3 linked regions of the Rhinolophus ferrumequinum genome follow. The protein of the gene in region 3 purifies or fractionates together with the protein of the main gene of each other region. This does not show direct contact. Links are inferred from orthologs where the notes say so. Each region holds a gene or a part of one and is shown on either strand. Other genes may lie near its edges. The genes, in order: SMC4, URGCP and HECTD1.

The links.
Region 1: the proteins of HECTD1 (region 3) and SMC4 purify together in Homo sapiens (affinity purification with western blotting; 3 studies listed by BioGRID, with this or other methods). This does not show direct contact. The link is inferred for Rhinolophus ferrumequinum from reciprocal best matches to the Homo sapiens genes HECTD1 and SMC4.
Region 2: the proteins of HECTD1 (region 3) and URGCP purify together in Homo sapiens (affinity purification with mass spectrometry; 4 studies listed by BioGRID and IntAct, with this or other methods). This does not show direct contact. The link is inferred for Rhinolophus ferrumequinum from reciprocal best matches to the Homo sapiens genes HECTD1 and URGCP.

What each region holds. Positions count from the first base shown.
Region 1 is NC_046285.1:79,424,831-79,428,577, forward strand, and holds the start of SMC4 (structural maintenance of chromosomes protein 4), read right to left. Parts: upstream 2,326-3,747; 5' UTR 2,170-2,325; intron 1,067-2,169; 5' UTR 1,062-1,066; coding exon 923-1,061; intron 11-922; coding exon 1-10. UniProt on the Homo sapiens protein: Central component of the condensin complex, a complex required for conversion of interphase chromatin into mitotic-like condense chromosomes.
Region 2 is NC_046303.1:35,307-39,053, forward strand, and holds the start of URGCP (up-regulator of cell proliferation), read right to left. Parts: upstream 2,900-3,747; 5' UTR 2,876-2,899; intron 1-2,875. UniProt on the Homo sapiens protein: May be involved in cell cycle progression through the regulation of cyclin D1 expression. May participate in the development of hepatocellular carcinoma (HCC) by promoting hepatocellular growth and survival.
Region 3 is NC_046289.1:80,128,714-80,132,460, forward strand, and holds the start of HECTD1 (E3 ubiquitin-protein ligase HECTD1), read right to left. Parts: upstream 2,803-3,747; 5' UTR 2,497-2,802; intron 1,095-2,496; 5' UTR 1,074-1,094; coding exon 934-1,073; intron 1-933. UniProt on the Homo sapiens protein: E3 ubiquitin-protein ligase which accepts ubiquitin from an E2 ubiquitin-conjugating enzyme in the form of a thioester and then directly transfers the ubiquitin to targeted substrates.

The sequences.
Region 1 (3,747 bases), on a different chromosome or scaffold from region 3:
GTTGGAGTCTCTAAGTCAGTCAAAGGAAAGGAAAGGGAAGGCAAAGGGTGGAGGGAAAGCCTGCATTAGTGCAATTAGTTCTGAGGACCAGTGCCTGCTAATCTCTGGAGAGATGTTACTTATGAAACGTAGGAATCTATATTTTCCAGTTAAATATAGTAGTGTCCTAAGCTCACAGGAGATGACAATCTTTCATCTTGGTTTTATAAAAAAAGAAATTCTTAAAAGAAATGCCACCAGTCTCAAAATTCTATAGAAATATACCTGTTAGGAGTCAAAACACTACATTATAAAGCAAATCTGGTAAAACCACAACAGCCTGATTCCCTGCTCACCGCCTAAACAGGTGGTTAAATCCCTAAGGCTCTATCCAACTCTCCGTATCTTTGGTCATCTGGAACCTTAACTTTGGACACTCTAGATCTCCAGCGACACTGTCAGAAGGGTTTCGTAAGGTCATCTAATTACTGGACTCACAAATGTTACGGTGGTTTCGAGGACATTATCATCTTCTCTTTAATCGCAATTTAAGACCACGGGAGTGAGGTGAGGGTCAAGCAACTTTTCATCACATTAACATAGTCATGTTGATTCTATCTGAAAAGAAGTCCACTGGCTATTGGCTGACCGAGCCGATTTCCGCGGAAATACAAGGCCACAAACAGAAATTCACAACTGAAGCAATTTACTCGCCCCCATTCCCTCAAGCACCGTTACACCGAACTTGCACGAAGAGTCTAATCTCTGAAAATCCCCGAATCGCTTTCTTGATCTGATCTACCGGGCAGACACGCGACCTTCAGACGTCTAACGCGCAGCCCCTCTCTCCTGCGCCAAATAACACGGCCCAGTCCCGGGTTGGGCACGGACCCACTCGAGTCCTCCAGCGCGCTTTCCGGCCCAGTCTCGGCCGGCTACTCACCTGCAGTAGCAGGGGCCCTGGGCCCGGCGCGGCCCGGCGGCGGCTCGGGCTCCGCGTCGTTGCTGGTGCCGTCCGGGGACTGCGGCGGCTCTTCTTCTCTGCGCCGAGCGGTGGAAGGCTGGGTGCCTTTACGGGGCATGGTCGCTGGGGCCGGGTGAGAGCCGGGAGTTAAGTCAGCCCGCGGGCCGCAGGGCCGCGCGGGTACATTCCCCGCCGGCTCCCGCGACGTGATCGGCTCAGCCTCTACCCCGCCCCACTCGGGATAAAACTCCGTTCTCCAGTTCCCGAGAGCCTGTCTTTAAAACACCGCTCAACGCCAGCGGGTCCTTGGGCAAGAAGGCACCCAAACCCCAAGTGCTAGAGGTGCGGGGCTCGTTTTCTTAAACAAGTTCCAAGCAAGTGGGAAAACCTAGACGTGCCTGGGAATCAAGCCACCACAGACTACTTGGGTTCTTATTTTTTAATGCCCCCTCCCCCGTCGCCCACAGTTTAAGTGTATACGAATATCTGAATGTAATTTCTGAACGAAGTAATTTCCATACGCCGGCATTTACTGACATTCCCACGTTCTCGGGGCTAGGGATGCAAGCGCAGACTTAGAGGAGTTCGCATTAGTTTTAGGTTTGCGGGGCTATCAACTCTTCCTAGAGCAGAAGGCTAAGCTTAGGACGACTGGCTGCCCCGTCCTCTCCCCGCCATTTAGCTCTTGGCGCCGTTGACGGCTCGGGGGCTTCGAGGTCTCCTCTCCACAGTCCCACTGGGCAGGGCGGCCAGAGGCTGGGGTCCACCCCTCGGGACTTCCAAATCGGACGCCAGCGATGATCGGGGGTGTCTCTCCGGGACCCGCGGCGGAATCCCGTTGGGTAATGAACTACGAAAGGTCACCAGTAAGGGCTAGGACCCGGTGATTGGTCCCTCGGGAGAAGAGAGAAGGCAAAGGGTCCGGGGGAGACGCCCTTTCCTCGACAGACACCAGGATTTCTGAGATCCGCGAGGCTTAGAGCCCCCTCCACCGCCCCGAGCGATGCTTAAGAAGATCACAGAAGTAGCGCCCGGGAGAAGCGCGAGGCAGCCCGAACTGCCGGGGAGCGGCCGCGGGGGGAGGGGTGACAGCGAGAGAGATCTCCCGGCGACAGCCTCAGCCCAGACTTCGGCTGCTCCTGCTCAAGGCCTCTACTTTCCGGGCACCCGCGGACGGGGTAGGAAGTGAGAGTGTGACAACCTGATTAGGAAAAGATGTACTTTACCTGCGGGTCAGTCCACTCAGACCAAGGCTGGAAACGGTTGTATAGACCCCCCCGTTCCTACCGGTGTTTCGGCTCCGGGTCCTTCACTCGAAAATGGCGCCTAAAATACAAACTCGAACGGAAATTCGTTACAAATGCGCGCAAAGGTTTCTGGGAACCACTAATTTTAAAAAAAAAAGTGCGGCGATTATCACCGCCATCTTCTGGTCGCTTACACGCATGCGCAAACTCCGGCCCTGGGGAACCCAGGTGGCATGGGACGTTTCTTCTACGTGAAGAGGAAGAGCAAAACACTGTGTTCCTTGGGGCCTACGGCAACAGCACTCTTATAAAAAATATTGAAAAAAAAACCTGGAGAGTTTTGAAAAAGAAAAATAAGAGTAGGGTTCCGCCCAAAGCTGGAGGCGGGGCTCAGTCGTCCAATAAAGCCCCTTAAAGAGAGGGCGGGCTCCCTGAGGGGCGGGGTCTCAGGCCCGCTCGGGTGACGCGCGGCGGGAAAGTATCGCGGGAAGAGGGAATGAGCGTAGCTCTTTGAAGTCACTATGGTGACGGGAAGGTCGGGAGGCTTGGTAACTGGTCCCCAGCTCTGTGAGAGCAATCGCCACCGCAATTCTGGAACGTAAGGTAAATCTCTTCACCTCCGGATGTGGTGAAGAAAGGGTTTGGAAATTGTAGCCATCACTGGATCCCACTTTCTTTGAGGGTGTGTGCGGCGGGGAGCATCTATTATTTTCCATCTCCCTGGTGGCAGTGGGGCTCTGTACGTAGCTTTTGGGATGCGAAGGAGGAGCCCAGAGTTTGGAGGGAATCGAGGGACAACAAGGAGAAGAGAAGACCTGGACTGGTGAATGATGGTGTAGTCCACATGTTACTAGCAAAATAATAATTTCGAGTTATTGGTGTTAGATCTTTAAGTGTCACTAGAGAAAAGGGTTTTCGGGCTTTTGAAATCATTTGATTGAAAGACCCCGTTATGGAAGAAACGATTTGATGATGTCATTTGGTTATCTTTATGAGAAAATGTTTTTAAAGTAGCTTTTGTGTACATCGCACTGTGCAAGACATAATCAGGATTATTAAGCAAATATTGTTGTTCCCAGAGAACTTAGTTATGTCAGTGGGTTTTTATCTGGAGTCTGTGGATCAGGGGTTGGTGATTGGGCTTCAGAGGAGTTCATAGCGCCCCCCCCCCCGAAATGATATACAAAATTATGTGTGTGTGTGTGTGTGTGTGTGTGTGTATGTGCGCTCATTTTTCTGGGGAGTTAGTTTTCCCAGAACTTTGATCAGATTCTGGAACGTGGTCCTAATCCCCCACAATGTTAACCACTGGTTGATCTGACTATCTCCAGTAAGTATTCAGCAACTCTTCTGACATTGAGAATGGGGGCCTCCTTTATTTTTTCTTTTAAATTTTTGCATACTTAGTGCCTGGCATACTAAAGCACTAATAAATCTGCTTAATGAATGAATTTATATTGCCATTCTATTTAAGTGTTGTGACTCTTGTTCTGAGGAGCATAAAATCAGGTGCAGTAATTCTCAAAAAGGGGTGTGGACACTCACAAGTGTAAGAAT
Region 2 (3,747 bases), on a different chromosome or scaffold from region 3:
ATACTACTGCAACACCACGACCTGAGGGGGCTCCACGGACAGAACCGGTGGACTGAGCAGCTAGTGTTTGTACTGGGTTCATGCCTTGCAGGCTCGCCGAGTGGGAGGAAACAGCTCTAAAATGCAGCTTTGACCCTGCAGAAACTTACACCAGAATCAGGCTGTAAAGAGGTTACAAACACTCGTTATACAAAGTCTACACAGCACACACGTGGCAACCTGCAAAGCCAGGTGGCCATCCGTCCCGGCATCGGGTTGCTCCCAGGGCCGGGGGGGACTCACGTCCGGGACGCTTATCTGCAGAAAGTGGCCACGGTTCTCCTGGATTAATCCATATACTTATTTGCAGCTAGAAACTTTTCTAAAAGTTGGGGGCACGTCCGTGAAGAACACAGATATCCCTGCTCTTAGCTTACACTGAACGAGGTGGAGAGACTGGCCAGCAACCAGAAAATTTTAAACAGGGGCTGCACCAGGAGGTGTGAGGTGCTGGGGAAGAAAGAGCAGTAGACTAGGCTCAGGGCACCAGCGTGCGGGGAATGGGGTGGACGGCTGCTGTTGTTCCAAGGGAGGGCAGGGTGGGAGAAGGGACATGCGAGTCCAGGCTTGGCAGGAGGTGAGGACGCGAGCGGGAGCTCCCTGGGCAGTGAGTGGTCCAGGCAGATGTATGGCTGCTGCAGCAATGGTCCGAAGGTGCAGGGGACACACAGGATGCCATTGTGGCGGGTACGGAGTGCACAGCGCACAGCAGTAGGAGAGCTCTAGTCAGAACCAGCTTCCTCAGAACCCCAGGCAATATTCCTGTCTCATGTTGAGAGCAGATGAGAGATGGCAGCACCTGAGGTGACAACACTGGGTTGAACTCTGAAAGTCTCTGTGAAGGATTTCAACAGACTGGATAGAGCGTGTGAAAAAAAGCCCAGGAAACCTCCAAGTGTTCAGGCTCCAGAGAGCTGCTGCTGTCTCTGGTGGGAAAACATGGGGTGAGCAGGCTGGCAGGGACCATGAGTAAGTCAATGCCCACATGCCAGCTGGGCACACAGGGTAGACCTCCGTGGAAATGCTGAGCATGAATCAGGGCTAGAAGGGGCTTGGCGGGGCTCGAGAAGCCAGCCCTCCTCCAGGCACCGCAAAGACCACTGTCAGTGCCTTCCCTAAAGACACTCGTCTACCCACAACAAAGGCAGAATCACCTTGCTATTTACCCATGACAATGGGAAGAAATTATGGTGCCAGGAGACCGTAAAACCCAAGAGACCAACTGGAAAACAACTACAAACAATGAGAGAGTAGTAAGCTGAGGACAAACAGAAATCTTTTTAAAAACTCAACTGCCTTCCTGTATACAAAAATTTAGAAATATGGAAAAGGAAACTCCCATTTCCAGTACCAACAAGAGGAAATTTAGGAATAGATGTAATAAATGTGCAACATCTATATGAAAAGAATCTCTAAATACTAAAGAATATAAAAGACTAAAACAAATGAAAAGGTATATCCTGTTTGGGCAAAGGAAGGCTTAGTATAATTTTTAAAGTCAGTTCTCCCTAAATTAACCTGTAAGTGAATTTTTTGAACTTGTAAGGTTCAACACTAGATAAGCTTATTCTATGGAAAAATATTTGTACAATAAATATCAGGAAAATTCTGAAAAAGAACAGTAACAAAGGAAGACAAAACCTGCCAGTGAGTAAAACATGGTCCAAGCCACAGTTCTGGTTCATGGACAGCCCAGAAAAGGCCAATATAGCTGGGAATTTCATCTCTGATGAAGGTAGCTGAGTATCGTGATTATTCCTTTACAGCAGCCTGGAAAAGTAACAATAATCCCTAGTCCTCCTTTCACCAAAATGAATACCAAATGGATCTGAGTCAAATTAGAAAATGAAACAAACAAACAAACAAAAAATACTGAAAGAAAATATTAAAGACTTTAAAAAAAGAAATCTCAGAGTGGGGAAGGCTTCATACAGTCAAAAGGCACATGACAGATGGAAAAAAAGTGTTTGTGATACAAATGACAAAAGGCTCATTTTCTCAACGTACAAAGATCTATAAATTCAGGAGAAAGGGCCCAGGACATCCCTAAAATGCATTTTGGGCTCTAAACAAAAGGAGGAGGAAGACACCGAACTCCACTGTGCTTTCCACCCTGTGAGACCAGACTAGATAAGGAACAGGGTGCAAGAGTCCCTTTATACCTTTTGAAATGGGTACCCGGTACCTGTGGTACTTCCTTTTTTAAAGTAAGGCAGCTAACAATTTTATAAAAATGCTACAATGTGCAGAATCCACAATAGAACCAGGGCAGCAGAAAGGCCTCCTGACAAGCAGGCGGGTCTGGGAAAGCACGACCTATGGAAGGCCGCTTCTAAGTTATTTCCGTGCCAGCCATGTGTTGTAAAACCATAAGCAAAGGCACAAAGGCTCCAGCGAGCTTCTTACTCCAACAAACCGGGCAGCAGCTTCAAGCGGAGCAGACAGTGCTGGACGACAGTCGCCCCCTATGCTCCTGGTCAGAACAAAATTCAGAATCCAACATTTCTGTTTGTGCCTCAGTAACCACATTTAAACCAACCATCCTTAATGGGGTCGTTTTACATCAAGTTTTAACTTAAAACAACTTAGCTGGGCCTCATTTCCCTATCTGTATAATGGGGATAAAAACAGTGCTTACTGATAGCGTTATTGTGCAGATTAACTTATTCTGCACAAAAGCACTTAGAGCAGGCCCCACAACACACTTCTTGGAAATAGGACTGCCACACAGGAAGAACACGGGATTTGGAGGCCCATCCATGAATAGCCCAGCAGAACCCACGGCTCCCCTCCCATCCTTGCCCTGAATGTCTGCACTTGTCCCCACAGCACCTACCTGGTCCACTAGAATGAGTGTCTGCCAGCCAGCTGACTGAGGCAGGCCACAGGATCGCAGGAAGCCAGGTCTCCCTGGCTGGGCTCTGAACTAGCTGCAAAGCCTACAGAGTAAACACATCTGGACACGTGGGTTGTCCCAATTTATACATACCATAAGAAGTGCATAGTTCTCTCTATAAAGTGAAATCAAGTATACTAAAAATTTTGTGACCTCAGCTCTGCAATCAGCACCCCTCAGAAAATTACAGATTAGTACCAACTGCAGACTCATGGTGTCACTCATAAACGGAACTGCAAATATCAAATCTGCACTAATGCCACTTTCTACAAGGATGCAGTTTAGGTCCTGTTGGCTCACAGAAGGGCACGTCTGCAAAGTGGTGAGCTTGGACGCCAAATGCACCATCACTTTTTAAAGGGCCTCGGTGCAACCACGCACAGGCTCAGCCACCTGACTGCTGCCGGCAGCCCTCCCGCCTCACCCTTTCCTGACAAGATGGGCAGGAATGCAGTGGGACCTTGACCCTCTGGGTGAATCAGCCAGGCCTTCAGAGGGACCGGCCCTCGTTTATTCTATTTATGAACTCAAAGTACTGGGTAAAGACCACTGCTCCCCAAACCTGGAAAGACGGCGGGTAGGAGGAAAACGCCGGGCTTGGTTCGAGTCAGACCCAGCTTGCTCTTGTCTGCACTGAGCCAGGGCAGTGCATGGCCGGCTCCAGCCTCAACAACGCGCCCGCAGGCCCTGCAGCTGTAAGGGGCCGTTGGGAAGTGCAAAGATGTACAACTTGAATGGTTGGCAAACCCGTCAGGGCTAAGACTCTCTGAGTGGTGGACAGCAGTCAAATGAAGAATTTTACCAACTACAGC
Region 3 (3,747 bases):
TTATTCATTCAAAAATGTAGACAATTAAAAATACTTTGTCAATTTAGTGAGTAATACAGCCTTTATTGCCACCTCAGAAAAATTAAGATAATTATACCAAATTTTATGTCAACACCTCAAATATTTTCTATTAATTATCTCAAAATGGTTGTTAAAACAAATATAGAAACAAGTGAGTTTTCATTTACTTATTATTGGAATTTAAAATGGTAGATACAAAATGTAAAATAAACAGTAAAAACCAAATGTATTCAGCATTCAGAAGAATGATTACTCAGCAAGTATCACATAAGAGGAAAAACGTGGCATTAATGGCCAATCTAATAATAAATTCTTTTACAGTTTTGCACAAATTCTACAGTATAACCTTTAAATAAAATTGTTTAAACTCTCCAAACTTCAAAATGTTCCTACTATTCCAAAAAGTATACTATGTGGGTAACATCCAATTTATACCCTCCAAATTGAAATTTACAAATCAATGATTTGTTGTAACAAACATATGATGTCATATTACTTAATACCTACAAAGAAATGGGCAGTTGTAAACATATTTTCATTATCATCTATATTTCCACATCAATTTCTTGGTACAGAAATAGCTACGTTTAAAGAAGGAAAGTGTTTGTATTTTCCCAGTTCGTGACATATTTTGAAAATGAATCAACCAAGGTATGGGTTAAAATAGTACTCCCTACTAAACCCTATTCATTCAACAAACATGTATTTGTGTCATGACAATTATCATTACTCAAGTTACTTCACATACCAATTTTTATTTCTCAGAAAAATGTAAATGCAAAACTGCATAAAGTTAAAAAAAAATTGTAAAACTCCCTAGAAAAAATTCTACACAAACTGAAGTCAGCAAATGGCTGAAAACAAATGTCATTACAGCAACCCCAAAGGAAGATGAAGAAGGGATGTACTTACGTTTCAAAACAACGATCCACGTTGTCAGACATCAAAAGCAGCATGCATAGCTGTTCAAGGGCTATTAGTTGCATGTCCCTTTCATCTCCCTGTCCCATCTGTAGCCACTCCAGTAATGTATCCGGATCCACATCTGCCATGGTTTTTTAAAAGCCTCTTTGCTTAAATTAAAAAAGGGAAAAAGTCCTTTAAATGTCCAGGACTGATCAGCTTGGGTTTAAAATTTTTTCCTTTATATCAGCTAGAACCAAATTTTCGTGATGTACTCCTAGGAATTAGAAAAGACTCATAAGTATGTTTAGATATAGTGCTTAACTAAGTTTTTCAACTGCCCTTATTCCTCAGGTTTAACGTTCATATATCATACTAAATAAAAACCAGTTTTGCACAAGAGTATAAGCTGATTAGGTTGCTGCTTAACTGGAAACCAGAGCTGTCTTTGTCAAAGACAGTCAAACAAGCTTCGGATCCCACTACTGCTATCACTAACGTCTGTGCCAAAAGGCAAAGAACACCTTACTAAAGGTTCTTTTTTTTCCAGCAAACCTCTTCCCCCCTCCTCCACCCAAAACTGATCTTAAGATAAAGGTTAGAGTCAGTATTTTGAGGAGAGTTAAGCAGTTTGATCCCATCCCCCTCCAAATTAAGTTTCTGCATTAAAATTAGCTCTAATTTCACAATTCTGCTGACTTCTCAATTTACTTACTGCTATTCTTAAGATCTCCAAATACAAACGATAATTAGATAGAAAAATCTATCTATGAATAAAGACTTGGTTGATTATTTTGGCAGTTTTAGCAACTGTTCTTCAAAGTTTAAAAAGAAATGCTAAAAGTAAATGCAATGAACTAGCTATGTCCCTCTTTCCCCATCCCCGCAGAATGGAGCAGTTGGTTAAAAATATACACCATATACACAAAACAGAGAAGCAGCCCCAACAGGCAAGTCGTTACCAAAGCTTGTAAACTCCCTGACAAGAGGACAGCTTTAGGTCCCACGTAACCCAGCTGCAGGTGTCTGAATCCAGAGGCGGGTACCAGTGGGCACCCAACGGCGGCGACCAGCAGGATGACCCAACACTCCGGGCCCAGCCGAGCCCCGCGCCGGGAGGCGCAGGCACCGCGCTCCGGTTTCCCCGCACCAAACCCAGCCAAGTTAGCTACCTGTGTCTAGGAGAAGGGGGAAGTTCTGAAGGAGAAAAAGCAAGCCTCCGTGCCCGAGAGGAGGCCGCGGGGCAGGACAGCGGGTCTCCCGGGAGCGGCGCCCTGAACTCCCGAGGCCCGGCGGGTCGTCCCCGGCCTGGCCCGGCAGCGAACCCTTCTGAAGGGCAAGGGGGGGCCGCCTTGGGCTCAGGCTCTCGCAAGCCGGGCCCCGCCGCGGGCAGGGCCAGGGGAGAGAAACAAAGGGGCTAAGCGGGTGAGTCGGCAGCAGCCCACCTGACCTCACTAGGGTCCGGGAGCTCTCGCTCCCGGCCCGTCGCCCGGCATCCCGTATCCTGACCCCCCCAGGCCTGGCCCTTCCGACCGCCCAAGGAGCTCCCGCCTCCCGTTCCCTCAAGCTTACCCGGGCTTGTCGTTCCAAACCACTCCAGTCCAGCTCCAAGCAGGCCGCGGGCAGAGCCAGGCCCGGCCGCGGCCCTCGAGTTCCCAGGAAGCCGCAGGCCGCGCAGGTCGAGCCGGGCAGGCGGCACAGGAAAAGCCGCGCCTCGTCCCTCCCCTTCCTCCGCGGGGACCTGGTGACAGAAAAGCGAGAGGTTCCCTGATGGGAGAAAGCCAGCTCAAGTCCAGTCGCCGGCACGCGGCTCCTCAGGCCCCGCAGCTCAGAGGCCCGCGCGGTGCTGCCAGCAGCGGCGGGGGGAGGCCGCGTCCATCGCGATCCGAGAGGGGGAAGGGAGAGGGTCGGGCGAGAGCTGGGCGGGGATGCTGAGCAGGGCAGCTGAGCTCCGCGGGGGCGGAGCAAATCGGCTCTCCTGGCAGCGACCCGGCTGGCCGCCACGTGGGGCGCTGCGGACACCCGTCGGCCAGCGGCGCTGAGGCGCCAACAGGCAGGACGCGTCGCCGCCACAGCCAAGGCGCTCGGGCCCCCGGGGCCTCGGATTCCCTCGGCTTTATCAGCTGTCGCTTTTCTACCGTACGCCGCGGCGCTTTTACGCTTTGCAGTCGATGCGAGCGCGCTCCCGGCAGCCCGCGCACACTGATGCACGCACGCCCTGCTAGTATTGCACGGCGTCTACACGCTTAACGCGCTGCTGCTGAAGGCCCCGTGCTGCACGGCGAAGCTGCCGCCCAAGTTGTCCTTGCCGAGCCTCCAGCCGGGCGACCTGTACTCCGCCACGCGCTTCCCCTCCACCCCACTGGTCACCCTTCCTCGCGCAAGGAAGTGCATCGCGGGAGGAAAAGCGGCTCCCTTCGGTCCATGGATGCAAACTGCGCCGCAGCTCACGGAAACGAAAACCTGTCACCACAAGCCTGGGAAGTAAATAGTATCGAAATTATCTCCGTTGTACAGATGTGAGGACTGAGGCTCCAAAAAGCATAAATTCAGGCCCAGTGGCGTTCCCAGTAAGCAGCAGCACTGAGAGTGTGCTTTTGACTCCTGCGGTTCGTGTTCCTAAGTATGTCCGTGGTTATTCCCTTCAAACATCTTTCAAACGCATTGAAAATAAAATATGCCCGCTTAAAGGACATAATTGGAGATATTTCGGGAGAAACTAATTGGAAGTATGAATATAGCTTTCTTTCTCTTTTTTTTTTTTTTAAAGATTTTATTGGGGAAGGGGAACAGGACTTTAGTGGGGAACAGTGTGTACTTCCA